3 linked regions of the Rhinolophus ferrumequinum genome follow. The protein of the gene in region 2 purifies or fractionates together with the protein of the main gene of each other region. This does not show direct contact. Links are inferred from orthologs where the notes say so. Each region holds a gene or a part of one and is shown on either strand. Other genes may lie near its edges.

Region 1 (10,025 bases), on a different chromosome or scaffold from region 2:
TTCACTCACCCTGGGCACCAGGCAACACACTGGCCTGTGGGGTCAGTCTGCTTTTCTGACTTCCAGTCGTGGATAAAGGGGAAAAGGTAGCTCCCCTGTGCGTTTATCTTGGGGAAACAAGACAAAACGTGATTTAACTGAATACCACAAATACCTGCCACCTTAGAATCACATCTCCTTCCACCAAGGGAGTGGCTGCTCCATTACCTTACAGCTTGCCAAGACTGGACATAATGCACAAAAAAGAACATTTTTTTTTTTTTTTTTAAGGAGGGCGCAGCGCACAGTGGCCCATGCGGGGATTAAACCGGCAACCTTGGTGTTAATCAGCATCGCGCTCTAACCAACTGAGCTAACTGGCCACCCAAAAGAACCTCTTGAAATGCAGGCACACTTGTTTTCCTAATTTCTCTTTCACATTTCATACACGCTTTACATTCTGTCAGTTTCCCTCTTGGATAAAACTGTTTTCAGGGAAAATGGACAAGTAATTAAGTTGACAAACTCTTTGAGCCAATAATGACAGCTTCCTAGTCACTCACACCCCTTTCTCCTTAAGACAATGCCTTGGAAATATCAATGCTGACAGTCACAGTGATGACACCCCGAGTGAGCTGCTGCTTATTTGTTAATTATTGTTCATTAGTGGGTAAAGCTGGTCAACTGCAGGGATGTGCCCAAGGGATGGCTGTTAGATAACTGAAATTGTTCGTTCAATATATTTGTGTTTGAATCCCCTTCTTTCAAAAGAAAAATCATACACTGCAACTATTTGACAAATACCTCCAGAGACTAAAGCTCACTTTTCTCGGGGAAAAAAAAAAGTTGGACAGGGGAGACATACTTGCCTCAAAACTGCAGAATAGCCATAAAGCATTTTTAAAATCTTACCTTAAAGAGCTTATGTCCCTAAGTCATCTTTACTGTCCAGTCCTGAGACACCAACGACAGGTGATTTTGTTTCTACTTGCTAGCTAGCTTTAAAACCCAACTAAACTCTAATTTTAGAGCTAAGGACCAATTCTAGGCAGAACTACAATAGACATTTTCAGGTGCGTGGCTCAACGTCAAGGATTTTTATTTTTATTTTTGCCTCTGGGCTGGCCATGTTGCTTAGGTTTGCTAGCCTCTGTTATATGCAAAAACCTCAGGCCAGAGACAAAAGAACTGCTGCGAAGTCCCCACAGCGCTCTCCACTGGGCTCTCAAGGTCGCCTTCGATGGAGAGGGACGGCCTTCAGCACCTTACAGGTCTGTCACGGCACACAGATCAGATGACTCGCTCTCAGGAGGGGCTTATCTAGAAGAGTCTTAACAACTGGCAAAACTCTGCACCCTCTAAGTATCTCACTTTTCAGGATCAAGTGAGTTTCATTTTCAGTGGCATCGAAAGTCTAAAATTAAATTTGGTTACTAAGAAAACAGAAGTTGTATTTGAAGGCAGTTGAAACACATGTAATCCCAAAGTGCTGCAGAAGTCTAGGCTCCCTGCAGGCTTCTTCCAAGTAGTTAGTGCTAACAATCAGTCTGATGACAGTTCAAGGATGCCAGGTTCATGCCTGAGGACTCTGCTCTGGAGGCTAACACTGCAATGACGGTGAAAATGAACTGTCACAATCCCACGGCAGGGCGTCCTTACTCTTTTGAGGTTCAAGACCATTTTACAATGTAGAACAGAGACCCTTCCCAACACACACACACATACGCTGCCTCACACAGGTCTATGTATAATGTTAGGGACGCATATCAATTACAAGAGCGCCTTAGCCTCCCCTGGGGGCTGCAGCCCAAATATCATGAAGTGACCTGATCTCTCAATAGCTTGGCCTGACTGGAAAGAGTATCGCTACGTACAAGACAGAAGTATACGGTAATAGCAAATTGATGTGCAAGGTCTTAGGGAGGACAGAATACCTCTTAGGGGCAAAAAAGCAAGGAAGGAATCTGCCAAGAACAGTTAGGAAGTAAAGATTCACCCTATTCCCTGCCTGCCCCTGCCCGGCGGGGTACACTCAGGCAGCCAGCAACCGTCTAGCCAGCCCGTGCGGGGGCCCAGGAACCGCACCACTCCGGGGCCCTGAAGGACTGATCGCCCAGAGATTTTTTTAAAGTATTACATGAGAAGATCCAAACAGTCACAAATCCCCCGTTTACATGGTTCCTGTCAAAAAACAGTAGCCTCCTGTTAACAGTGGATTTTAAAAATAAAACAGCCCCTTGAATATCAACCTGAAACTTTTGATTCCAGGTTTAGATGTTTAAGATAAAGAGTACTTTTATAGGAAAACTATCTGAAATCAAGTGGGCTGTGCACTGTTTGGGGCTGCAGGACTTTCTGGGCAGCTGAGGATTTGATTAGTTTCTGGTCACCACACAAAAGGGAACCTCTTTATATGCCCTGCCTTCCAAATAGGGTGAGGCAGGGGCTTACCTATGATTCGGAGAGCAGCACTAATAGAGAGGCCAGCCGCCATTTATCCTATTGCGATGGTCAGTTTTGTGAGCATTTTCTGAGCACCTTCTCTGGGGTATGCCTATACTAGATTTTGGAGTTAGAAAGACTAAAACTTTTGGCACCACCTCAAGAAGCTTATAATCTGCTTTAAAAGAGGCCTGGGTAAAGCGCTAAAGAAAGAAATTTTGGGAGACCCCAGCAAAGGAGAAAAAGCATCTCTTGGGGAATTCTGAAGAGTAGCTAGGTTGCCCAGCTCCATCATTGGGGCTTCTTTCTGCCACACTCTCCATGGCTCTCGCCCCGGGATCCAGATACCAGGCTCTTACAGGCACGGCCTCATATCAAGCCTTGCAAAATAGGGAACAGCTATGATGTGTGGACATTACTCCATCTACATTCCAATCAGCAAGTAAGTTGGAGAGATCGAACGAGACTGGTCAGGCCCTAACCTGCTGGGTGAAGAATGAGTTAATGTTACCAGCAAGACTTTTTAATAAGTGGGAAACTAGCCAACATTTTCTTTACAAATCAAGCAAGAAGCTCAAAACAATGTTCCTAGAGGAAATGAAGAGGTTGAGTTTATGTGTTACTCCACCAACAATGCATAATTTATCACACTGAGTTGTTATCTAGGTATAAAAAGGTTTAGACCAATTACAGAAAAATAAAAATGAAAGGGTTTAGATCTTTGGGTAAACAAGCATTCAGGAAACAATATTTACTCTAATAAATCATCATAAACACGGGCTGTTAACTTTGTACCATTTCAAAAGCACTTGGAAATCCTGTTTACCTTTTTCATTAATTCACTTCTGGTAGTAAACTGTGGCAGGTCTTCCACTTCAATCCCATCAGCCATTTCCATCACCTTATCTAAAAGGTCTTTGTTGTAACTGCATAATAAAAAGTAGTAAGGTTAAAAACCTTAGAAAAATTACCTGTCAGTATGGGGCTAACAAATTGCAGGCAATGGGACTATAAACTCAATTCTTAGAGGACTGATTTGATACCACAGGACAAACCAATGCATGTTCAGCAGCAGGTAGTTAACAGTTCTTCCTGTTGGGGGATACAGAAGTGGCTCCAGGAATGCCAACAGAGCAGGTGTTTCAAATTTACAAAACAAACAAAAAAGATTTACAAAAATAGAGGCACCATACATCTGGCAGTACATATTCGTGGATATGGTATGAGGGCCAAAAAAATTACTTTTTGAACACATGGAGTGTTGGTCTAATGAAAATAACATTATTTGTTCATTGATCCAATTTTCTGACATTTGCCAAATCTTGGATCCTGTTAATCAGGATTTCCCAGGGCCACCGAGAAAGCATAGAAAAGGGATGGATATGACTGGCACTGCTTCATTGGCACAAATCTTGTTCTAATAACCCTCAACATCTGCAAGCTAAACCAAGTGGCTTAGGGCAAGAGGGGCCATGTGACCAGAGTCACACAGACCTAAGGAGCACCGAAGCCAGGACTAGCCCGAGTCATTTTATCCTAACACAATTTCAGGAAACGCTAAAATAAAAAGATGTGGGAACCTCGAGATTTTCCACCTTCTTCATGGTGGGATAAAGGAGGGTGCGAGGCATCTTGTTATTATTTTCGTAAGAGGAAAGGCAGTGAGGCAAAGGCTGGCTCTTGCTCAGGGTCCAGAAGCCAGGGGAATGGGGAGAAAAAGGCTAGGGCCACAGATTACATCCAGATATAAATGGTAAAATTAACCAATCCTGCCAGAAGCCTCAAGGTCCTAGGAAGGTCACCTCCCCTTGTCTCAGTTTCTTCATATGTAAATTGGGGCATCCCAGTTTCGGTCGGTTTCTGTCTCTGCATTTGCCAGTGAAAGGAGCTAATGGACTCAAAATGCACTCTGCAAAGGTGGTTAGAGCTATTACTGGCAATATAAATAACAATGGTAACTTTAGCGCCCAGCACAGGTGGAGCTCTGGCCAGATGGCAGCCTGTACTGAGTGCTTTTCACCCTTTAATATTGCAGTCATCACAACTCATTTTCCAAGTGAGGAAACTGAGGGTTTGTTGGCTAGGGTGGGAATCGGCCGGAGGCCTGGCCACTGCGGCTGGAGGTTGGGGGCAGGGTCACGCCTGAGCGAGGGCGACGGATCGGAAGGCAGGGGACAGGGTCAGCCAGCGGCGGTGGTCCGCACCTGCAACCCAAGAAGAGGTGGTTGGCCCAGACCATGGAGAGGGACAGCAGCTGGTCCAGGCGGCCGCCTCCGTCGGGCGGGTCTCGGTAGTCGGGCAGGTGGCGCAGGATGAATTCCATGCGGGCCTTCCATTGCTTCTCGCTCTCCGAGTAAGAACGGAACTGCTCGGCGAAGTCGGTCGCCTGCCGCACGCCCGAAACCAGCTCCTCCACCGCGGCAGCCGCCTCGCCACCCACCATGGCGCCCTCCGCCGCCGAGGGCCGGCCGCTCCCGCTGCCTTCCCGACAGGCACTGCGTCACCTCCCAGCGGCTAGAGGGGCCCCGGCGGCCGCGACTGCTCCAGAGAATCGGCCTGGAGCGCCCTCGCCGGGCGCGGCGGCCTGACCCGCCCGACCCCTCGGACCTCCGCGGCCAGTGGCTGCAGGGCACAGGGGCCGTTCTCGGTCCACCCCCGCGGGGAACCGCTAGGAAACCTGAGGCCCCCCAGCGCAGAATCGGGGTGCCGCTCTCCCATTCGGCAGCTGGACGCCAACCAGAGCTGTGCTGTGTCCTTGCCCTGGGGGTTCCCTGGGTACCCAGCCGGCAGTTGAATTTCCTCTGTTTTCAGGACTTACATGTGTAGCTGCTCTGGGTCTGTCTTTGATTCCCAGAGGTCTCGACACCCCACCCAGGTTGTGACCCACCTTCGTGGAGTGAGTCATCCATCGAATTAAATACCTGCCAGGCCCTTTGCCAGGTGCTGGGGTTGCAATGAGAGCAAACTCAGAGCCCTGCTCTAATGAACTTTACCATCTACTGAGGGAGGCAAACATTAGTGAAATACCTAGTGCTCAAGTGAAAATTTTCACCGTTGACACATTTTAATAAGGAAAGGACCAGAGTGCTAGAAGCATGAATAAACAATGGACGTGGCCCAGACTCCAGAGTCATGGAAATGATGCTGGAGAGCTGAGGGATGAACAGGAGTTAACTACATAAAGAGGAGGAGGCCATGGAAAGAGAGCCTGGCCTGGTAAGAGAACTGCAACCAGGGTCCTAGAATAGGGTACAGTGGAGAAGATAATGCTGCAAAGGTCAAGGACAGTAGGCCATGATAGGGACTGTGGTCTAGATTCTAAGAAGAATGGGGAGCCACTGAAGGATTTTAACCAGAGCAGTGGCACATGTTTCCAAAAGATGTTGGAAGGAGCCAGAATGGATGTGTCCAGAGGAGATGAGCAGGTGAGCTGGCAGGACTCCACTGTCTCTCCTAGGGTCAGGTCACAAACTCCCTGAGAGACAAAAGTGCCATTGTAAGTGGTGAATTTCCCTTCCCTGGAACCATTCAAGTCCAGTAACAGGAAAATCACCTGAGCCTCTATTAATCTTGAGAGCTTATTGACCTAACAGGCTTCCCAATCATTACCTATTAGATATGGGGTGGGGTACAGAGCCCGGCCTAGCGTCCAGGATCTGGGGCTCCAGTGTAGGCCCTATGTTGTGAGTGGGGCCCAGAGGCAGAGCCAACTATGTGCCCTCTGCTGCTTCTGCAGCTTCTCATGGGATGTCAGGGCCCCCAGCAGGCAGAAACCCCAGAGAGAATGGAAATACCTGCAGACCCAGCCCTGGGCTCAGGGACATCCCATTATGGTTAACAAAAGGGAGTCATGCAATTCTCATCCTGGTGAGCAGGGAGAAAGTGAACAGGGCTGTGAAACCACATACAGACTCATCTTCTCTACAAAAGTCAGGAATATGTGCCCAGAGCAGGGGCTCCCCAAATTAAGTACAAATCACATCTCCTGAGGGGCTTGTTAAAATAGCAGATTCCCTAGGCCCATCACTGGTTGCTCAGAGTCAAGGCCTTAGGTAATTGATTCCACCTGTGGCTCACCAAACTTTGAAAAACACTTAATGTTGATAAGGGTTCTCTGCACCAAATTATTGGTCTCCTGATTGTACCATGGAAATAGGAACCTGGGCTTTGTAATCAGCAGCTGCAGTTATACAGCTAACTTGGCCACAGGGGTGTGAAAAAGCTAAGGGGTCATCCAGCACAAGTAGCTTGTTTAGAATCATCTTTGACAATGACAGGATAAGCATATATGTACCTACATACAAACAGACTGAGACATGCATGCAGATTATAAGAATACCAAAATGTACAAACAGGTATTTTTTAAAATTATATGACATTGTTAGCATTGTACTTTCAAAATGTGAAGTAGTCTAAAAATGTCAGTATTAACATTTTACAGGACCCTGTGTCAAGTTCAATTACTGCTCAGTTTATTGTTTCTAACTTGTATTTGTGATTCAGATATTCTTAGAATGGAGTGCTTACTTATATAGACAAAGATCAGTTTTCCTACTTTATTTTTTAAAGCATCTTTATTGAGATTCAATTCACATACTATAAAATTCACCCATTTAAGGTATATAATTCAGTGATTTTAGTGTAGTCACAGATTTCTGTAACTATCAACACAAATATAGAACATTTTCATCACCCTAAAAAGAAAGTCCGTACCCTTTAGCAGTCACTCCCCTTTACTCCCAGCCCCAGGCGACAACTATTATATTTGTCTCTATGAATTTTCTACTATGCACATTTAACACAGGTGGAATCATATAATATGTGGTCTTTTATGACTGACTTTCACTTACATAATGTTTTTAAGGTTTATCCATGTTGTAGTGTGTCAGTTCTTCATTGCTTTTCATGGTTGAATAATATTCCATTGCATGGATATACCACTATTTGTGTATTGATACGTCAGTTGCTGGACATTTCGGTTGTTTCTACATTTTGGCTATTATGAATAATGCTGCTGTGAACATTCACGTACAAGTTATTCTGTAAACATATTTTCAACTTTCTTGGATATATAGTGGATTGCTGGGTATATGTTCAACTTTTTGAGGAACTTACAGATTGTTTTCCACAGTGTCGACGCCATTCTACATTCCCGCGAGCAATGCTTGAAGGTTCCAATCCAATTTCTCCACACCCTTGTCAACACATTATTTTCCCCTTTTTTGAGTGTAGCCATCTTAGTGGGTACAAAGTGTGCTCTCACTGTGTTTTTGTTTTGTATTTTCCTAATGATGTTGAGCATCTTTCATATGCTTTTTGGCCATTTGTATATCTTCTTTGCAGAAATGTCTATTCAGACCCCTTGCCCTTTAAAAAAAAATAGACTTTATTTATTTAGAGCAGTTGTAGGTATATAGCAAAATTGAGTGGAAAATACAGATAGTTTCCGTATGCCTCACCACCACCAACACACACACACACACACACACACACACACACAGCCTCCCCCACTATCAGCTTCTCACACCAGAGCAGTATAGTTGTTACACTGACACATCATCATCCAAAATCTATACTTTACATTAGGGTTCGCTCTTGGCGGTGTACATTCTATGGTTGTTTTTTTTTTTTTTTTCATTCTATAGATTTTGACAAATGTATAACAACATGTATCCACCATTTTAGTAACATAGAGAATAGTTTGACTGCCCTAACAATCCTAATTGTCTTTAGAAGAACAAAAGTTTTTATTTTGATGAAATCCAATTTATTTTTTCTTTTACGAGTCATGCTTTTTGGTCCTATCTAAGAAATCTTTTGTCTAACCCCATGACATAAAGATTTCTTGTTTTCTTCTGAAAATTTTATAGTGTTAGGTTTTACATTTAGGTCTATGCTTCATTTCAAGTAAATTTTTGTATATGATGCAAGGTATGGGTTGTCAAGAGCGATAAAGGATATAAAATTTTACCCTACTTGCAAGCTAACAAATTACCCTGCCAGTTTCAATGGATGCTGGCAGGAAACATAAGCTTCCTAAGACAGAAACAAAGAACTTTATTTACTTATAGCACAGCAAGCGGCATGAGCTTCATGTTTCCATTGGTTCCCCTTGTCCCTAAGGTCCCACAGGGTGGATGAAGTACAAACAGGTACACACAGTGAGTTTGTGTCACAGCTGAAGAACCCCAAGCTTAGGGAACTTCAATCTTTTATAAAGGACTGCAAGCAAACCTGCCCAATCTTTGCCCCAGAGCAATCCATTTTTATCTGGACAGTAAACAAACTTGCCCTTTTGCTCTAGAGGTTGCCACTATCTCCAGGCTGTTTTGTGGATACACATCCTTGAAAAGACAGTTTGGAGCAAAAGGGGAGTTAGTGTCTAACTTAGATCGTAAGGTATGCAGATACGTGAGAGACCCATGGGCAATTGTCTCCCAACATAAGTTAAGATTCTTTATTTTGTGGGCAGACGATTGTCTAATTGGTCTAGTGCAATTTGTTGAAAAGACTATATCCTTTTTCCATTCAGTTACCTTGCTACCTTTGTCAAAAATCAATTGACCATATATGTGTGTCTATTTCTGGACCTATTCTGTTCTATTGATTTATGTGTCTATCCTTTTAGCAGTATCATACTCTCTTGATTACTGTAGCTCAAGAGTTAGCAAACTTGTTCTGTAAAGGGTGGGCTACATATAATCTCTGTTGCATACTTTTCTTTATTTCTTTTTTCAACCATTTAAAAATGTACGAAGCCATTTTTAGCTTGTAGGCTTTGCAAAAACAGGCTTCAGGCTAGATTTGGCTGATGGGCCATAGTTTACCAACTCAGCCTATGTAGCTTTCTAGTAAGTCTTGAGGTCAGATTGTTTTGAGTCCTCCAACTATGTTGTTTTACAAAATTGTTTTGGTTATTTTAGTCTATTGCTTTTCAATACAAAATTTAGCATTAGTTTGCCAATTTCTAGAAAAACAGAGTGCTGGGATTTTAATTGGGATTGTATTGAATCTATAGATCAATTTGGGGAAGAATTAACATTTAACAATATTGAATTATCCAATCTATAATCATGGTATATCTCTCTACTTATTCAGGTCTTGTTGTGGTATATTTTTAAATTAGATGAACCATTAGACTTATACACATATTTACCACTTTATTTGTTCTTCATTACTTCTCTATCTTTTACCTTGCATCTGTTTTCATTTTCCTTCTACCTGAAAATTTTGTTAGCATTTTCTTTAGTACAGGTCTGCCAGTGGCATGCTCACTTTTTGTCAATCTGAAAATGACTTTATTTTGCCTTCTGTATTAGTTACATGGCTGCATAACAAATTACTCCAAAACTTCGTGACTTAAAACAACAAACTCTTATTATCTCACAGTTTCTGTGAATTAAGAATGCAGGAGGGGCTTAGCTGGCTGGTTCTGGCTCAGGGTCTCTGATGGGGTTTCGGTACATTGTTGACTGATGCTTCATGTATGTGAAGGCTTGTTTAGGGCTAGCGGAGCCACCTCCAAGATGGCTCCCTCATATGACTGTTTGCCACCGGTCTCAGTTTCTTACTATATGGACCTCTCCACAGGGCTGTTTGAGTGT
Region 2 (10,422 bases):
ACTGCACAGGATGGCGAATAGGATGCACAGTGACAAACTCATATTCTTTTGAAAAAGAGTTGGGGTTCTCCAATTAAGGAACTATGGAAGATGTCAGAGATGAGATAAAAAGCAAATATTCACATTTAGGAGCAGTGACATTTAATAAAGTGATTAAGGAGTGACATTAAATAAATTCTCAGGCCATTTCAAAGTGATTAATGTCGGATGGAAGCCAAGATTTATTGGGGAAGGAACATAGAAAAAAAAAATGGGCAAATGATCTGAAGAGACACCTCACTCAAGAAGATACATGGAAGGCAAATAAAAATCCCAAAAGATGCTCAAAGTCATTTGTCACTAGAGAATTGCTACACTGTTTCCCCAAAAATAAGACCTAGCTGGAAAATCAGCTCTAATACATCTTTTGAAGCAAAAATTACTATATATTACTATAAGACCGGGTCTTATATAATACCGGGTCTTATATTAATTTTTGCTCCAAAAGACGCATTGCAGCTGATTGATTGTCTGGCTAGGTCTTATTTTCGGGGAAACACAGTAAGTAAAACCACAACACTACACTGGAATGGCTAAACTAAAAAGACTAACCATACTAAGTGTTGACAAGGAAGTGGAGCAACTAGAACTCTCTAATACACTGCTGGGGGCAATGTAAAATGACACAACCACTTCGGAAAACAATCTGGCAAGTTTTTCTTTTTAAATAATCACACACCATACAATTCAACCATTTCATGCTTACGTATTTTCTCCAAAGAAATGAAAGCATATGTACACACAAAGATGTACAATAATGTTCATAGTTTTTAAAAAAAAAAATAGCCAAAAACTGGGAAACAATTCAAATTTTCGTCGATCTGGTGAATGAATAAACGAAATGTGATATACGCATAAGTGCAACATAGAATACTATTCACAAATAGAAAGAAATGAACTATTAATACATGTAACAATGTGGATAAATTTCAAAATAATTGAATGAAAAGTAAGCAGTTAAAAATAGTATAATTCCGTTTACATAAAATTGTAGAAAATGAAAACGTATTTATAGAATCAGAAATAAATCAGTGGTTGACTAAAGATAGGTAGCAGGAAGAGGTGTTAGGAAGAAATAAGAAAGGGGCAAGATGAATGTTTTACCGGTGATATTCATTATCTTGACTGTAGTGATGGTTTCATGAATATACACATACATCGAATGTATTATATTGGACACTTTAAATATGTGCAGTTTATTGTAGGTCAATTATACCCCAATAAAGCTGGGAAAGGGAAAGAAGTGGGTTTGGGGAGAGAGAACAGAGAGAAAAAAGAAAAATAAATCAATTTAGGAGGACCAGTATCCAGAGTTCAGAGAGGGCAGAAAAAAAGGAGGTAAAACATACATAAAATAATCAAAGAACATTCCCTACAACTGAAGAAGACAAGTCTCCAAACTCAGAGAGTCAGCAAAGTATTGATGTAAGTGAATTCAAATTTTAGGGTCCAGCCTGGTGGCTCAGGCGGTTGGAGCTCCATGCTCCTAACACTGAAGGCTGACAAGTTCGATTCCCACATGGGCCAGTGGGCTCTCAACCACAAGGTTGCCAGTTCGATTCCTTGACTCCCACAAGGGATGGTGGGCTGCACCCCCTGCAACTAACAACGGCAACTGGACCTGGAGCTGAGCTGTGCCCTCCACAACCAAGATTGAAAGGACAACTTGACTTGGAAAAAGTCCTGCAAGTACACACTGTTCCCCAATAAAGTCCTGTCCCCCTTCCCTAATAAAATCTTTTAAAAATAAATAAATAAATTTAAATTTTAAAAATCTACACTTAAGTACAAAATCATGAAAGCTTACACTACCAAGGATAAAGATCTCTTTAAAATTAGAAAAACGGATCAACTACAAAAGAATGAAATCAGAACATAGAAATTAAGAGCATGTTCTTCCTGGATTTGACACTAGCTCTAACATGTATTAGCCGAATGACCTTGAGTACATTACTTAACCCCTCTGTGTTTCAGTTTTCTCAATAATAACACAAGAATAATAATAATGTCATGTGGTTGTTATAAAGATTTAATAATTGTAAAGTGCCTAGAACAGTGCCTGGTGTATGGTAAACACCACCTAGGTGTTGGTTAAATAAATCAATCACATTAACATTCAACTTCTCATCAATACTGGATGATAATAGCAAAAAAAACAATGCTTCCAAACTTTTGAGGGAAACTAATTTTCGAATTCAAACGCTATGCTTAGCTAGCTAATGACTGTTCATGTGTACATGAACGTAGAATGGACTCAAAAAACTCACATCCCACACAGCATCTCTTGAGAATTCAACTGAGAAGAAAAAGCAAGGAAGGATTTAAGCCCAGAAAGATCGTGATTAGAAAACAGTACCTCCAACTGCGGAAAGGAATTTTCAAAAATCTCAGGCAGCTTTCCAGAAAGCCTAAACAACCAGGTGTGACAGCAACAGAAATAAAGACCTCAAGGAGTCTCTAAGAAGAAAAGAGGATTTGAGAGAATATCTGATAGAACATGGTTTGGAAGGGGAGTCATGTAAAGAGACCAGTAATACCAAGAAAAAGGCAAAAGTAGCAGAAGCAGCAGAATCACAGTACATAAACTGCATCTGCACAATGACAATAATCAACAATACCATTTGATTTTTCACCTTTTAAAACAAACTTGTATAGCCAAAGCCCTGACAATTTAGTATTGGATGCCAACAGGACAAAAGTACAGTTGACAAGCTTGGGGTGAGGAATAAGGGCAGCAGAGCTAGAAAAGATAATACCTAACCACAGAAAGTGAAAAATCAAGGATATTTTATATATGAGAGGAAATTTTTTAAACAAAGCATATTACTTAAAGTTACAAAGTTGACCAACAGAAGAAATAAAGATGTGACTTACTATTATTAGGAGGACGGGCAAGGGGAGGAGGGGCTGCCTAAATGACCAAAACCTCTTTTAACACAGCTAGAATTCAACAGATAGTTTCAAAACCAAGGACTCAGGTATAAGCATGACATTTAGAGCTAGAACCAAAACAGTTGAAAGTGGTTATCACTGGAGAGTAAAAATGTGATGAGATTCAAGTAAAGTTAATAAAGTTTGATAAAAGTTTTAAAAACAAAGGAAACGAGCATTGAGCTAAACAGTTTATCTTTGAGAAAAACGCAGGAAATCTCATGTCATCAAAACAATGCTTTTGGTTCCTCCCTCCTTGGATAGGGACTAAAACAAAAATCAGTCTCTCACCAACCAACTTAAGCAAAAGAAATCCGTTCACAGCGACAGACGGGCACTTCCTTCAAAAAACGAAGGGGTGGGGGCCAAGATGCGGCCCTTACCCTTCTCGATCCATAAATTCTAATTAAGAGTACAAAATCGAACTTGGACGGAATCATGGAAAATACAAAAATACAAAACTCAAGAATGGCCATAAGTCAACACACACATTAACAAACTGACCACAGAAAGTGTCGTTCAAGTATATGCAGGAATTCTGAAAATTTCAACGAGCATGCCATCCAGCAGTCGGGGAACCTTAAGGAAGGGGCACTGATCAGACTTCTATCTTGCCCTAGACTTTTTAAAGTGCTGCTTTCACCGTACGATCTAACTACAGCAACAAACGGTCTCTCACACTACGACAAAACCTTTCAGGTACGGCCAGTAAACAACAAAAATCTCGCCGCCGAGTTACTTTACAAGGTTGTTAAAGGCTGGGATCAGCATCCGCGCAACCCGAACTAGTTAACTGAACGGAACAGCGGAGTGCGGCCCAACAACCTCCCAACCTCTTTCGAAACCCAAACTGCGCGGTGCCCGGAGGAAACAAAGCCGTGGGCGGGGCCTTCCGGTCCGGGAAAAAGCGGGCAGGGGAGGAGTGCCTCCCGTGCAGTTCAGTCCCGCTCGGCCCTAGCCCCGCCCAGGCCGCTGTCCGGGAACCCCGAAGGAGAATGCCGGCGCCTCACCGCGCGTCGGACCGCGGCTGTCCGCGAGGCCGACAGAGCGGCGCAGACGGGCACCGCGCCCTAGGGCAGGCAGCTGGCCCGGAGGGCCGCGGCCTAGGCAAGCAGGGGCTCTCGTCGTTTCAGAGCTTGGCAGTCCAGGCTCTGCCCCTCACCTTCTCTTCCACGCAGTTGACAATGATGGACGGGTATTTGCGGCTGAGCCAGCGAAAGAACGCCGGGACTCCCATAGCGGCGGTCCAGCTGGAAGCAGCAGCCGGGTCCGCGGACGAACGTAACCTGAGAAACAGGCAGGAGCGGCGGTAGCGGGCACCGGCACTTCCTCCCACGTGCGCGCCAGCGACAGGAAGTGATGTCGCGGTACCACCGCTGGGGAAGCCGGGAAAGAGTCTCAAAACCGGCTACGTCCGCCCGCGACCGAGCGGGGCGGGGCCAGGCGCGGCCGAACTTGTTGTCGGAGGTGGGGTTCGGCGGTGTAGCGTGTGGTTAGGGCTGCGGCCTGCGTTGCGTGGTACGTTCGCTCTTGGTGGCGTCGTTCCCCGAGCCCGAGGTCGAGCTCACGCTCGCCACGTCTCCCCCGGGGTCTCGCTTCCCCAGTCCTCGGGCTCCCCTGGGACGGAATCTCCGCGCTCCGCAGCCTTCTGGGGGACCTCTTCCTAGCGGGTTTGATTACCTCTTTCTCACCCATCTCAATTCAGAGTAGAATCAAGGCATTTAAACTAACTCGTTATTTCTGTTTCCTGGTTTCGTGCTACAGTACGTTCAAAAGGAGTGTTTTGTACTAATGATGGCTGGTTTACATAAGTAACTCACCTGAGTTATTAGATGGAATCTAGCCGGTGTTTAGCATCTAATTCAACCTTCTAGCTACACTTATGAGTATAAAATAATTGCTGATTTCAGTCTCCATTTATTTGAGCGCTTACAATGTGCTAAAGCATTAGCTAAAGGATTATCTTATTTAATCGTCACTTGCGCCTTCTGAGGGGGCTATTACCATCTTCACATAACAGATGAGAAAGCCAAGTTGTAGAGGGGTTAAGACATTTGCTTGTTCACACTGCGTGTGGTTCAGTCCAAGGAAAGATCATTTAATCCTCTGTCCTGGCCCTAAAAGCATACTTACATCTTTTGTTTTCTGATGGCTTCAAATATATTTTTTTCAGCATGTAAAAAGTCTGGAAGAAGAAGTGTTTATGTCCATTTGCTCAAGGCTGGAAGCCTTTCTCTCTGGAATCCTCTCTTGGCTTGATAAATCACACTCAGTCCTAAAAACTCACTTCAACAGGTCTCTATGAAAGTATTTCTCTGGGCTACCTGACATGCAATATTCATTGCCCTCTCCTCTGTGGTCTGATGCCACTTTGTTTAAACTGCCGTGACAATTAGAGAAATGGTTAGCCCATATTTTACTTAAGGATAGTGAAAACTATTCCAGAATATTATGTCTTTGGTGAACTCCCTCGTTTCTCCTGGAAATAGTCCCTCTTCATCAAGTATTTGGTTCCCCTGGTAGGTGCTATGTTTTTATTGGAGCAAACACACCATAGTCGATTGATACAGGGATGGACAACTGGACAAGTTGGGCCATGACAGCCCTTGCCCAGCATTTTTGAACTTCAAACCATAAGGAAAGTAAGGTAGTCCTTCCCAGATGATTGAAAACTGAAAGGTAAGAATGGACTTGCTAGTCTGCAATGAGAGAAGTAGATTTAAGTCCCTGGTTCAGTGAGTAAGTACAGCTAAATCCCTCTTCCTGATGTAGGATGTTGCTTAGTGAATGCCGGGGTTCGTAGTCTCGTGGAGCCGAAGAATGGACACACGGATCAAGGAGAGGCAAAGAGTGGCACAGTAAGATAGTTTATTATAGTAAGCAGAGTTACAGCTCCCGAGCGGGAGGAGGACCTGAAGATGGGATGCCCACTAGCTAAGGCAAAAAGCTTGTGTTTATATACCTTTATTTCTGCCTGGGTGGGGGATGTTGGGATGTGGGTGTCTATGGATACAGTATTTCCCAGACTAGCTCTACTGCTCAGCTTGGGGGGAGACCATGGAAACAAACCCATTTGTCCCAGAGTATGATTGATGACATTTTTGTCCTGGTGCGGTTGTCTTGGTATAGTTGCCCTGTGTTCTGTTTTTATTCTGTTTTTGCTCAGTCTACCAAGGAGTCTCTGACTGCCTGATGTCATACTAACTAACCTGTCTCAATTCCCCCTCTGAAGATAAAATCCTAACTGCCGTTAGGGCATGGGGGTGATGACTGCTCTGGCTACTTCAGGCTGAGGAGGGGCGTAGAGAGACCGGCAGGTAGGGCTGGTCCAGAGGTCTCTCTGAAGGACCCCGGTAGATGGGCGATTTCAAATGGGGGCAGCGTTGTTTCTCAGCCATCATAGCCACCGGAGGGCTGGTCTGCAAGCTAGGATACACTATAGGGAACAGCATGAAGTAATTTCTATAATAGTGAACAAAAGAAAAATTAGAAAAACTTCTTTAAATCCCATCAAGCTAGGAAGCCAGGAAATAAGAAAGGATAGATCAACGCCAAAAAATCCTGTCCGCTATTTAATGTTGGAAACTATGTTATGAATTTGTTGAACTTTATCCTCAATTAGCTGAGAATTATCAGAAAGATTGAAACAGCATAATCTTTTAAAATGTTCGCATCCTTGATTATGTTTAAGGAGTAGGTAGTCTGTGGCAGCTCTGTTTTCAAGAACTGTTTCTCTGACCTATCCTAACTCTTGTTTCATTTTAAGTTTGGTTGTCGGGGACCAGAAGAAGAGCTGCTGCTACTGCCTGAGGGCAAGCTGGCCAGCCTAGCACCACAAGGTCTAGTTCCTTAAATAGCCCACAGGTTGTTATGAGGGTCCCTTGGGCTGTGTTAAGACTCCTAAAGCCATTCCTTTTGTCTCTGTTACATATAAGTGAAAGGATTTTTCTGTTGGCAGACTTAAAGCTGGGGCGCTTAAAAGAGCCTGTTTTAAAAGGCTGAAAGCGTGTTCTGCTTCAGCTCCAAAGTAGCAGCTGGGTATTTGCAGTCTGAGTGTCTTTAATCAATTGATAGAGAGGACGGGCCATTTCTCCGTATCCTGGGATCCATAGGCAGCAGTAGCCGGTGATGCCTAGGAAGGGCCTTAGTTGTTTAAGGGTTAGGTAGGGGATACATGGAGATGGAACGGAGCCTGTCTTCTCTCGAGGCCCTAGTCCCTTTAGAGGTAATTAGCCTAAGATATTGACAGGCAGTCTGACGTATCTGGGCATTGACCTTGGAAATCTTGTAGCCCTTAGAGGCTAAAAAATTCAGAAGAGCAATGGTGCTCCGGCTGATGAGGTCTTCAGATGGAGCACATAATAAGAGATCATCGACGTATTGTAAGAGCGTGCAACTGTCATAAGAAAAGTCTGACAGGTCCTTAGAGAGGGCCTGTCCAAAGAGGTGGGGACTGTGTCTAAACCTTTGGGGAAGGACCGTCCAGGTGAGCTGTGAAGTCTGGCTTTCAGGGTCCTCAAAGGCAAAGAGATATAGTGAGTCAGAGGGTACAGGTAAGCATTAGAAGCCATCTTTTAAGTCTAAAACTGGGAACCATCTGGCACATATTTGGGCTAAGAGCGTGTAAGGATTTGCAACTGTAGAGAGTAGAGGAATAACTAACTCGATGACTCAGAGATCTTGAACTAATCTCCATTCTCCATTGGATTTTGGAGTTCCTAAGATGGGGGTGTTGCGAGGACTACTGCATTCTCTAAGAAGGCCCTGTCGTTTGAGACTGGTAATGATTGGTGTTAGTCCTTTCTGTGCCTCGGGTTTTAGAGGGTATTGCCTCTGGCGAGGAAATAGAGTGGGGTCTTTATTTTTTTTTGTAAACATTTTATTGGGGATGGGGAACAGGACTTTATTGGGGAACAGTGTGTACTTCCAGGACTTTTTTCCAAGTCAAGTTGTTGTCCTTTCAGTCTTAGTTATGGAGGGCGCAGCTCAGCTCCAGGTCCAGTTGCCGTTGCTAGTTGCAGAGGGCGCTGCCCACCATCCCTTGCGGGAGTCAAGGAATCGAACTGGCAACCTTGTGGTTGAGAGCCCGTGCTCCAACCAGCTGAGCCATCCAGGAGGCAGCTCAGCTCAAGGTGCTGTGTTCAATCTTAATTGCAGGGGGCGGAGCCCACCATCCCTTGCGGGACTCGAGGAGTTGAACCGGCAACCTTGTGGTTGAGAGCCCACTGGCCCATGTGGGAATCAAACCGGCAGCCTTCAGAGTTAGGAGCACGGAGCTCTAACTGCCTGAACCACTGGGCCAGCCCTCCGTCTTTTTTCTTATTCTCCTCTCCTTGTCCTGGGCTTCCTCCTGGTCCCAACTGTAAAAGACAATGTTGGCTGCCCTGAGTAACTGATCCAAGGTGCCTTTGGGACCAATGGCCAATTTCTGTAATTTCCTGCAGATACCTGGGGCAGTCTGAGTTATAAACCTATCCTTTAAAAGGGTTTCTGCTTCAAGGGAGTCTGGCCCGATAGGAGTGAACTTGATTAGGGCCTCCCTGAGTCTTTCTAACATGGCTGAGGGATTTTCTTCTGAATTCTGGCTAACGGTAGATAGTTTGGAATAATTGATGGGCTTAGTCCTAGTTCTCCTCAGACCCTCTAAAATGCATGCCAGAATGTGTTTTCTCTGCTAGTTTCCCATAGCTTTATCAGGGTCCCACTGTGGATCTGTAGCGGGTACTGCTTGCTCTCCTGTACGGAAGCGCTCCAGAGTGGGGTCTCGTTCTGTTTGTTCATCATGATATTCCAGGAACTGATCATCCCCAAATTTTTCGGCTGCTTATAAAGCTGCCTGCTTTTCAGAGTTAGTGAGAGTCTGATTTAAAAGTAACATCCTTCCAAGAAAGGTCAAAGACCTGGGTTATGTTCTGGAAGGCTTTTATTTATTTGTCAGGGTCATCTGAAAACTTCCCTAGGTCCCCCTTTATTTGTCTGAGATCCCGTAGGGAGAAAGGGACTTGAACCCTGACAGGCCCAAATTCTCCTGGCATCACCTGTAAGGGAAGGAGATTTGTTCTTAGTTGGGAGCGCCTTTGTACAGGAGGTCCCGGATATGTAGCGCAACAAGACGGAGCTGGGGTAGGAGCCGGCTCCAGAGGAACAGTAGGGTATAGAGCTTTGGGATGATCCCTTGACTGGGTGTTTATTAAAGGGACCTCCTCAGGAGAGGAGGATCCCGCTGGGGGTTTCTTTGAAGGAGTCCCTTTAAGAGGGGTCTCCTTAGGGAGAGTCTCCTTAAAAAGAGTCTCCCTAGGAGTAGGGATGCAAGAGCTCACAGCCAAAAGAGCCAAGTCAACTCTACATTTCTTACAGAGATCTGGGTTGTCCCTTAGGGTGAAAAAGCCTATACATAAGGAACTTCTGACCATTTGCCTTCCCGCTTACAAAATAGATCTAATTGCATTATAGTATTATAGTTAGTACTTCCCTCAGAAGGCCAACTTTCCCCATCTTCCAGCTTGTATTGAGGCCAAACCTCGGAGCAAAAGAAAACCAGACGCCGCTTCTTCAAAGTCTGAGGATCAGATTTGTCCCAATGTTTCAAGATGCAATTTAGAGGGGTGAAGACGCGTGAGGGCTGATTGCCCATCTGGAAGAGAGGAAGAACAGAAAGGCATCCCTTTGCAATTCATCTCCCACAACTTGTTCTAGGGCGTCCCCCAGATGCATGGGCCACGGACGTCGCACGACCGATTCCAGGGCTAGTAGGGAGACACGGCACACCAGGATTAGTCGTGCTTTCCTGGGCTGCCCGGCCCGTGCCTCCAGGTGGGCACCTACCCAAATCGGTGTGTGTGTCCCCGCCTAAACATCTGGTGCTGGCCCACAGGTCAGTAAAGGCTGTGGCCGATAATGAGGTGCTTTAAGGTAGAGGGGTGTATGCCGTAACTCTGGGCATCACAAAAATTGATGGCACGATTAATATAATAGTGGCCTTCTAAATAAAGATGTTTAAGGAGGGAATACATGCTTAAAGCTTTTAAGGAAGGCATTTGGTCAAAACAAAAAGGTGTAGGGGGTTGCCATTGTGATTGGGAACTGTTTTGTTTCCACCTATGATGAATGTAAAGTGAGACCATTAAAACAAACCCATTTGTCCCAGAGTATGATTGATGACATTTTTGTCCTGGTACAGTTGTCCTGTGTTCTGTTTTTGCTCTGTCTACCAAGGAGTCTCTAACTGCCTGATGTCATACTAACTAACCTGTCTCATTCCTACAGTTGTTTGGTAAACCTGTCCTTTAATTCCACTAGTCAATAAATTCTCTTTTTGCCTTAAGCTAGTCTGGACTAAATTCCTACCCCTTGCAAAGGAAAGAGTCCAAACAAACCAGTAACAAAATTTGGGGACTACACAGCTAGTTAACCTGGGTGCTAAAATTGCTTTGTGTAAAAGAGGTACAAAAA
Region 3 (9,976 bases), on a different chromosome or scaffold from region 2:
TTCTCACAACCCATTTACAGAAGATGGAGACTGAACTTTGGTACTCAATTTAACATTCTCAAAAGTCACTCATTTCTAAAGGTTATCTGATGAAATAAAAACTGGTTATTTCAAGTAAATAGAAGTATCCTTGTCAATTTCTAGAATATAAAATAGAAATAACTTCTACATACTTAAATTGTACCACTTATGTTCAATTTTCCTATTCCAATACAACTGACATGTGAAAGGTCATTTCTTAATCTATGTAATCACCATTACTGCTCAATATGAAGCATCTAAAAAGCCAGGAGAAACGCCACAAAGATAACGAAACATCTTGGGCCAGAGTCTGAAGAAAAATGGAAGAGAATATACCACAGTAGAGTGATGCAATCAGAATCACCAAAGATACAAAAACAGGATTCCAGTTCATTACTCATAAATATAATTCAATTGAGCAGGCTCATTAAAGAGCTGAGCATGGCTCACCATTCTTCTGAGATTTGTAACCAAAAATCCCCATCTAGGTCTTGATTTGCAAACTATACCTTCTCTATCCATTAAAAGTTGTATGTAAAGTATGAAAAATTACTTCGTTGTAATTTACAATGACTAGTATTAAGAAGCCTATTTGCAGGAATTGGTTCTGCATTAGGGGGGAAAAAAAACACAACTTCTTGAAAAGGTAAAATAGCTTAAAGCATTTAATATCTAAACAAATCAATCTGTTAATAGCAGTAGTCACAAAATATGCTTAATATAGAAACCCACATTTATGTCTTTTAAGAAAAAGTGTAAATTGTATTTTACCTCAAAACATAAATTATTAACCCACTTAAAGAATCTGCAGTGGTCAAAATCATGGTGAATTTTAAACAACTTCAGAATAAAATAACCTTAAGTACTTTATACTGCTTTGCATCTAAAAAATGCTTACAACTTCTCATAAAAATAGTCTGAGGCAACTATTTTTTCTTTTATTCTTTAACAGACATGTTCAACATTATGGGCAACATTCTTAAAACCTTAAGTATCACAGACTTTCAGATATTCAAATACTATGGTCCCCATTTCTTTTGATGTGGTTTATTCCACTAGGAAAAAAAAAAGCATGGTAGACAACTTAATACATTTTTACCAAATCGATAGTACAAAAGTTTTAAGACTCTACAGAACTACACATCGTACCTAATGTATCATTAAAAATAGAAGACAGTATTTTCTTCAGCAAATAAAACAGCATACTGCTATGCTGGTAATGCCTATCTTTTAATGTGTACTGTCATTCATAAATTATTTACAACTTCTACTCTGTGAAGAGGACTAGAATGTAAATTTTCTGCAAAACTGGAAAAAAGCAATACAAAATTTGTGAAAGCCTGTTTATATTATACAAAAGCCAGTTTTTCTCTTCAAATATCAGATATTGTATGAGTGATATTTTGCACGTTATTATAGTAATTCTTGAGGATGTTTTAATGCTGGAGGTAAGTTTACAGGCCTTGATTCTTCATCAAGGAGTACTAGGTCTTCTATTTCACTCCCTCTATATTTCCTTTTACATATTTTTACTACCACCTTTTTCTTGAGAAATAGCTTCAGTGCTTCTCTTGATGCAACTGCTTTTGCATTTTCTTTGCTTTTCCCACAGCCAGTGCCCAAATACACAGACTTGCATCTCAATTCACAAACAATACTTTCTTGAGAGCTCTTATTTTGAGGCAGATCTGCCAGTTCTTTTAGTGGGACAAAAAACACATCCAGTGTTGCTTTCAGAGCCTCGATAGCTGCATTCAGGAGCTCTCCGTGATTCACATTGGGACTAAAGCCACCAACAGCTACCAACTTCCATGCTACTGTTTTATACAGTCTATTAAAAAAAGGTTGCTTCTGTTTCACATCTTCATTGGTTAACTTGCAACAAGTGAATTTGACAGAACTCTCACTTGACTGGGAAGTACTTTTAGAAGGCAACTGGGATGTGCTAGATTGAGAACTACCCTTAGACGCCAGCTGGGACACACTTGCTAAGGAAGTGCTTTTGGAAACCAGAGATCCACTGGTCTGGGAGCTGCTCTTGGAAGCTAACAGTGATGCAGCTACCTGCGAAGTGCTTTTGGATGTCAGCATTGGTGTATTTGCTGATGTGCTGCTCTTGGGAGTTAGTAAGGATGTGCCTGATGAGGAACTGTTTTTAGAAACCAATGATGAAAGACTTGCCTCTGAACTGGTTTTGGAAGTTAACCCACTTGAAGTTGTCTCTGAACTAGGTTTAGAAGACAACAGTGGCAACTCTACTTCTGAGCTTCCTGAGGAGCCCAACAAGGGCACCTCAATCTCTGAGATGCTTGGAGAAGCTGAGACTGAAGAGCCTTCCAAAGCACTTTTAGGTGATCCACTTTGTTGTTTGGAATCAGTGGACTGGCTCACATGACTATTCATACTGGATTTCAACAATGAAGAAACAAATAATGCTGAACCGTGTTTATCTGGGGCTTCGGATTCAGAAGCTTTTCCAGATCCTGCTGTTGTTACCTGAGAGGAAACGCTGCTGCTGTTTTGGTTGGAAACGGATCGATCTCCATCACTTGTAGAACTATTCTGACTCGAGGTGCCAGAGCTCCGAGTAGAGTTCCCACTACTCTCTAATTTGGTAGACGACCCTGTACATGCTGAGCTGTTTTCCTGCTGAGCTGATGCACGTTCTGTTTTGGCAGAATTTTTTGCATGCTCTTGCTCAACTGCAGAATTGTTTTTTCCTTCTATAACTCGTTTTTTCGTTGGCTCTTCTACCCCTTCTAAAAAGAAGAAAAACAGATACATAACTAAGTCTACCTCATACATATTAGCTGAAAATTTACAAGACAGACATTCATTAAAATAAAGGCACAAGGCAAAAATATTTCAGGACTAGTAGTTTCTTTAAAAAGTGTGGAATAACTTCATTAATCTCTTAAAACAGCATTGAACAACATCGTTAATTTCTAATATTAAAAAATCAACAGCATACACAACATTTGATACTTCAAAAGCAAAAGCAGTTAAAGGAAACTGTTAAATTCAGAGGCTAAAACACAGACACATAATTTAGGTTCAACATTCCAACTTGATTAATAACATTACATAAATTCCAGCTCGTTAAAAAATTAGTAGTAACAATAATTCCTAATTATATCAAACTTATATTCTAAACTCCTATGTATGTTCACATCTATGATCTGCTAACCATTGCTACTTGATATCCCTCTTTTCTTCACCTTGGCAACCAGTTCGTCTCTTGTTGTATGGATTGGAGCATCTGTCACTTTGATGCCTTCGGCCATACTAAGTATTTTATCCATAACTTTTTGAGGATACCTGAAAAAGAAGGAAAAGCCATTTTTAAAGTGTTTTTCCCTAAGCTACTACTTTTGGTATGAGAAAACAGGCCAGAAACTGCATTTCCTGGTTGTAACCAAGAAAGTGTACCAACCGCCAGGAACTTTGTTTCCTGGAACCCCAGAAACAAATGCACCAGCATCTGGGAGCGGGGTCCCGCCTTACCCACCATAAATGTAGTGTCCACCCACAAGAGCGTTGTCAGACGTCAACTCCACCAGCAGCCCCCCCACCCAAGGGGGGCACCAACAGACTGTAAATCATGTCGGCTTCCGGTAGAGACGCCCTCCTCACCCTTAGAGGGCAGCCGGTCCCACGATTCCCGCGCTTCACAACTTCCCCTCCCTGGGAGTGTTCCGAGCCCGTAGTCCCGGGGCTGAAGACAAAACCCGGAGAGGTGCTTAGGGACGCTTCCTCACTCACCGGCACCCGAGGAAGATGTGGTTGGCCCAGGCCATGGAAAAGGAGATGAGCTGCTGCAGCTGCCTATTGCGGGTCCCGCTCTCGGCGTCAGCAGCTTCCTCCGTATTAGCGGAGTCAGCGCCGCCAGTGGGGGCCAGGTCCCCGGCGTTACGGAGCAGAAACTCTCGGCGGTGGCGCCAGTGTTTGTCAGTCTCGCCGTCGCTGCGCAGCGCTTCCACCCAGGAGGCCACCCGCGGGTTCTGGCTCAGGTACTCCGACACCTCCTGCGCCATGTTGTGCCTGCAGGTCGCGGAGGCTGCGAGCAGACACTGCACCGGGGAAGAGGCGGGTGCGCGGGGCGAGCGGCTCTGTCACTGCGGCCTGCACCGGCGGCCCTCCAGAAGACGCCCCTCGGGAGGCCCAAGACCTAAACAACAGCGCCCCGAGCAGCTGAACCGCCCACTTCCGCCCGCCGCCGGCTCCTTCCCTTTTATAACCTCGCCGCCGCCCAGCGCCCCCGCGTTCTTCCGGCGCGGCTCTCCCAGGTCGCTTTGCGGCGCCCGAGCAGCCGCGACGCTGCGGCCCCGACAGGCGGCGGCGGGGGGGCGTCCTCCGGGGGAGGGGACGGGAAGGAAAGGAGGAGGTGCTTGCGCCTCCCGCCCCATCAGGGCGGGCCGCGAGTGGGTTCCCGGGGCGCTCCGGGCCTCGGCGGGAATGCGAACGTTCCAGTTCGAGTCTGTGACGCCGGGCGCGCTGCTGCCGTCGCCCTCCGCCTCCCGGGCCCGCTGCAGCGCCGTGAGTCGTGGCGCAGGAGGCCCGACGAAACGGCGGGGAGCCGTGGGACTCCCCGCAGCTGGGTCAGGACGGGCAAAACCCTCGTCGGCAGCCGCGGCGCGTCCTCTCCGAGCTGAGGCGAGGACAGTGCGTTCTCGCCCCAACGCTTGTTTTGAATTGAGCCAAAATAAACAAAAGCTCGCCTCCATCTTTTGCGTCGGAAAACAGCTTCAAGCGCTGTGTTTGAATGTAGACCAGTGAAGCTTTCTGAGGCCGTTCACGTCTCTCGGCATATAAGAGGGGGTGCGTGATAATAGTAGTAATAATGAATAGTAATAATAATACAGATAATGAAGTTTAACGATTAATCCAATTCAATGTTGCCCTGCGGTGCCCAGTCTTTTAAAACTCGTTACCCCGCAGAGTCGGGTTGGGTTTCGTTTCCGCAGTGCAACCCCGGCAATCCCTGCTGCTTCTCTGGTGGTGTTTGGTCAGTAACAACACCGCGCCCAGGACGTTCTGTATCTGTCGCATTTCCTTGAATTAACAATAATGCCCAACTGGACAAATAGCCAGGAGAGGCGGCGTGGAAAAGGACCTGTTTATCTTCATCGCCCCAAACCTTTACCTCTGAACTATTTTTTCCTTGCATTTTTTTTTCCGCTTTAGAATGTGCACACATAATACTGCCGGCTTGGTTATTGTTTTGTTTCCAATTTCAGGTGTATGTATGATTGAAGTTTAATACAATTTAGTAAGCTAAAATAAGTGATAAATAATGATAAATTACGAAATGGAATTTTTTCTCTAACGATTTTGATTTTAAAATGCTTGAATCAGAATAATCAAGAAAAAAGGTCACTTTAATAAGATTAAGAAACGAAGCCATGTAATTTATATACGTGCTGTAACAATAAAAATGTATTATGTGAAAATAATACTGCCCACTTTCCTGCAATGCCAATGAAACTGCATAAAAACATAGGCATAAAGAAATTTTGAAGTTTGGGGTTTTGTTTCTAGTTTCTCTCTTCTCCTTTTCAGGGAAAATTGCTGAAAAATTGTAGAGGAGAGTGAAAGGGTACAGAAATCCGGCAATTTAAAAGACCGAACAAATTTTATGGTCTTTCACGAATTCTTTGGCAAGGGGGAGATGGCAAGTAAAAGAATCTGATTACCTACCTAGATGATATTTGTGCATTTTAAACCAAGAATTTTCTGACTTTTTTTCTTGTTGCATTGTAGCCTTCCACTCCTGGGCTTCATTGTCCTGAAAGGAGAGTAAATAGAGCCTGAATTTCAAAATTATGATTATGATTTTAAGTGTGTTTTTCCAGGACCCATCAGCTCCAAGTCAAGTAGTTGTTCCAATCTAGTTGTGGAGGGTGCAGCTCACAGTGGCCCACCCGGGGATCAAACCTGCAACCTTGTTGTTAAGATCACTGTGCTCTAACCAACTAAGCTAACCAGCCGCCCCTCAAAATCATTTTTTAAAGTATGATAATAGCAATATGGTCTGAAAACTGGAGTACTTATTTGCAAGACCTAGGTGCCTGACAGAAAAGATATGTGTATTTTTATCTTTGACTCGTATAAAGTTAACTTTGTATGTGAAGATTTAGGGTATAGACCTCAGACCACATAGAGAAGAAGAGTATTTATTAAAAAAAAAAAAGACAAATACCTTAATTTCTTTCTGGGTTGGAGGGATTCAGACAGAAAAGGTGAGAGGAGAAATTGTGAAAAATCAATGGGAGTGGGGAGTGGTGAGTGGGGTGGAGTTGAGGAGGGAAGTGTTGGCTCTGCCTGGACGATTTTGTTTTAAATTAAGCCTTAACATTAATCACTGTCAATATGTTTGCTGCTGTGAGAAGTAAATAAGATTATGAAGTTATATCTTTCATGGGGTTTGTTTCTAAAATCATGTAAATGAAAGATACAATTCCACTTTATAGACTCACCTCATTTTATTGCACTTTGCTTTATTGTACTTTGCAGATACTGCATTTTAATCATTGAGGCAAGACCCTCTGCTAGCAAAAAGATTACGACTCACTGAAGGCTCAACTGATGGTTAGCATTTTTTTAGCAATAAAGTATTTTTTAATTAAGGTATGTACATTTTTATTAGACATGATGCTATTGTACACTTAATAGACTACAGTATAGTGCATAACTTTTATATGCACTGGGAAACCAAAAGGTTCATGTGACTTGCTTTATTGCAACATTTGTTTTATTGCGGTGGTCTGGAACCAAACCAGTATCTCAGAGTTATGCCTGTACCTTCTTTTCCTGTGGCGTAGTGATTACCTCAATTTTAGAAAACCTTCTTGGACATCTACTGATGTAAAGAAGTAGAGAACTATGGACTTGATAGGTTCTCAAATGCTAGTTTGATTAATTTCAGTTGCAAGTGACGATTTAAAATGGCTTTTGCTTAAAGAGGGAATTTATTGGCTGTGTTATTGACAGTCCAGGGAGTAGACTGTGGGATCCAAGTGCCCAGACAATATACTGTAATCAGGAAGTCTGTTTCTCTTCATCTCTAGACTTTGCTTTCTCTGTGTTAGCTTCAGTCTCCAGCAAGCTCTTCCTACATAGTGGCAAGGTGATTCCTAGTAGCCCATGGCAAATGTCCTCCATAGCTCAGCAACCACAGTAGAAACAAAATTTATTTTTCTTGAGTTTCTGCCAATGTCCTAAGGTTCTGTTAAGAATCCGTTGGTTCTCATATGACTTCACTCATTTTTGGGATATAAAACTGAAAGCAACAAATGGACGAAACAAGCAAACAAACAAGAAACTCAGATAACAGTATAGTGGTTATGGTTACCAGAAGGAAAGCGAGAGGGAGGGAGGTAGAAAAGGATAAGGGAGTCAAATATATGGTGACAGAAAGAGATTTGACTGGGTGGTGAACACACAATGCAACATACAGATGATATAGAATTGTACACTTGAAACCTTTATAATTTTATTAACCAGTGTTACCTCAATAAATTTAATAAAATTTAAAAAAGTCCACTGATTCTGTTGGATCATATATGTATCCCTTAAATAAGCTTTCTAGCCAGGGGTATGAAGTATTCTGATTGTACAGGTCTGAGTCATGTGTTCACCCTAAGAATAACAAAAAATCTGAATAGGGTCAATATCATGCAAGGAAAATAACAAACTCAATAAAGCGAAGAAGTTACACTCAAGGAAATGGAGATAACAGCCATGTGAACAGAAAAGTCACCAAATACTGGAAAAGATTTTAAGGTATCATAGTAAGCAGTTTCAAATGACACAAGACAATTCTCCTGTGGGAGAGGCTGTTAATCAGGATTTCTTTTTTTCCACATTTTTAGCCAAAGTGATAAATCTTTTTATAGCACTTATATTTCTTTATATAGTCACATAAAAAGCCTTCCTACAAACAATTTCATCTTTACTCTTCATGTTCTTCCTAATGCCAACAAGATAAGACACTATTATATGTAACTTCCCCATTCCTTCGTGAAACTCTTCACCTGTGCATCCCAGAATGTGGGATATTTAAATCTAGGAGAGAGATACAGATAGAGATTAGAGAAGAGTTACTGTTTGGAGAAGTAAGTACAGTTTAAGTTCCCATAAACAACTTGATCCTGGCTCTTCAGAATCATGGAAAGTTAGAGCTGGAAGGGGACTTTAAGACTATTTTGTAGATGAGGAAGCTGAGATCAGAGCAGTTAAGTGATTGCCTAAGGTCAATTGTTTAATGGAAGAGCAAGAATATGAAACCAAGGAATGTAGTCTACTGACTTATGGTCTAGAATTTTGTCTCCTCTCACATTTTGCTCCTTGCAGTTTAATCAGCAATATTGATTCACTCACAAGGTGTAGTGGCTGCAAAAGAAATAGGAACTGAGCTAAAACTTAAATCCAGGCACTAAGATTACGACATCAATAATCCATTTAATTATTGGGCAATTTGGAAGCTAGGAGCAGGAAGGATAGGAAATTTGTCTTTCGTTGTACTTAGGGCTCCTGTACATAAGTATATGATTATGTAACAGCAGAACCAGCTCAAAATGGTCCTATCCTGTTTAACGAGATGCTGAGTTGCTTTTCAGAGACAGCAGACCAAAATTGTATTGTCATGCAGCTGAAGCATGTGCAGAGCTGAAAGCTTTGACCTCCAGCTGTACCTGGAACCAAAGTCTCAACCCCTCCTCACACATGGAACCAAAGAACCAGGGTATAACTAGAACTTGAACTCTGGAACCCTTTCAGAAGCAAGGGTGCCCATTGTCTGGGAAGATCTGGGGTTGATGCTCCTTTACCATAAAAATGGCCAAGTTCCAAGGTCCTCCAATTACCGTGTTTCCCCGAAAATAAGACCTAGCCGGACGATCAGCTCTAATGCGTCTTTTGGAGCAAACATTAATATAAGAGCCACTATTATATTATACCTGGTATTACATTATACCTGGTATTATACCTGGTATTATATTTTTTATATTATTACATTATATATTATATAAGACCCTGTCTTATTTTATAGTAAAAGAGGACTGGGTCTTATGTTAATTTTTGCTCCAAAAGACGCATTAGAGCTGATTGTCGGGCTAAGTCTTATTTTCGGGGAAACATGGTAAAACTTGCCTGACCAGCAGTTCTGCTGGTTCTCACTGGTTCACACCAGTGATACGAATGTTATAAAATAAAATGGAAAAATAAAGCAGAGGGTCAGAAAAGTGTTCAGCAAGTGGTCTAAACAAAAAGAATATGTGCTGAAAAACCTTTGATGGGCTACCAAAAGCAATATTTTAAAGCCCCTATCTTCTGTACAACTGTTGGTTGAATAGGATGTTTTCAAAAACCTCAATTAATTTTAAAGAAGGAAACAAAGTAAGTGTTTTTCTTCTCACCAGGGAAGGCAATTTTGATGTTAAACACCTCATTGGTGGTGGTAATACTATGCAGTTAATTTTAAAGATGGGAACAAAAGAAGTGTTTTCATTCTCACTAGGGAAGGCAGTCTTAAACACCTCATTGAGGGTAGTACTGCCAGGCTCATCTGGGAGTTGATAATAGCTCCTCCTGACAAGACAATACCGAAAACACAGGGTGAAGCCTACCAGCCCTCAGATGAGTTTTCACCCCCACCTACTAGCGAAGGCACATTTTCTCTCTTTCCTGAAAAGAGTGTTAGAGTGCAACGCAATCCAATTATTTTTACAATGTCAAGTCCCATGGAAATGAATTCAGGAGCTTACTCCATTGATTTCAGCAGGGCTTGGTGTGGTAAAATTGATTCCACAGGGCTTTGATACAGAGCGAAGAGAGCGGCGAATTTTTATTCACATTTATTTATTTTTCCAAGCTAGAGCTTAAGAGGATCAGAATGCTCCTTTTATCCCTGCCGTATGAAACTAGAACTAGGAAATAGAAAGGGAAAAAAAACATA

What was found.
Region 1: the proteins of XRN2 (region 2) and CDKN2AIPNL purify together in Homo sapiens (co-immunoprecipitation; 6 studies listed by BioGRID and IntAct, with this or other methods). This does not show direct contact. The link is inferred for Rhinolophus ferrumequinum from reciprocal best matches to the Homo sapiens genes XRN2 and CDKN2AIPNL.
Region 3: the proteins of XRN2 (region 2) and CDKN2AIP purify together in Homo sapiens (affinity purification with mass spectrometry; 4 studies listed by BioGRID and IntAct, with this or other methods). This does not show direct contact. The link is inferred for Rhinolophus ferrumequinum from reciprocal best matches to the Homo sapiens genes XRN2 and CDKN2AIP.

Annotation. Positions count from the first base shown.
Region 1 is NC_046307.1:10,325,564-10,335,588, forward strand, and holds the start of CDKN2AIPNL (CDKN2AIP N-terminal-like protein), read right to left. Parts: upstream 4,931-10,025; 5' UTR 4,865-4,930; coding exon 4,626-4,864; intron 3,348-4,625; coding exon 3,248-3,347; intron 1-3,247.
Region 2 is NC_046306.1:41,561,206-41,571,627, reverse strand, and holds the start of XRN2 (5'-3' exoribonuclease 2), read right to left. Parts: upstream 4,312-10,422; 5' UTR 4,208-4,311; coding exon 4,133-4,207; intron 1-4,132. UniProt on the Homo sapiens protein: Possesses 5'->3' exoribonuclease activity. May promote the termination of transcription by RNA polymerase II.
Region 3 is NC_046287.1:78,028,101-78,038,076, forward strand, and holds CDKN2AIP (CDKN2A-interacting protein), read right to left. Parts: upstream 4,227-9,976; 5' UTR 4,056-4,226; coding exon 3,784-4,055; intron 3,340-3,783; coding exon 3,209-3,339; intron 2,781-3,208; coding exon 1,435-2,780; 3' UTR 664-1,434; downstream 1-663. UniProt on the Homo sapiens protein: Regulates DNA damage response in a dose-dependent manner through a number of signaling pathways involved in cell proliferation, apoptosis and senescence.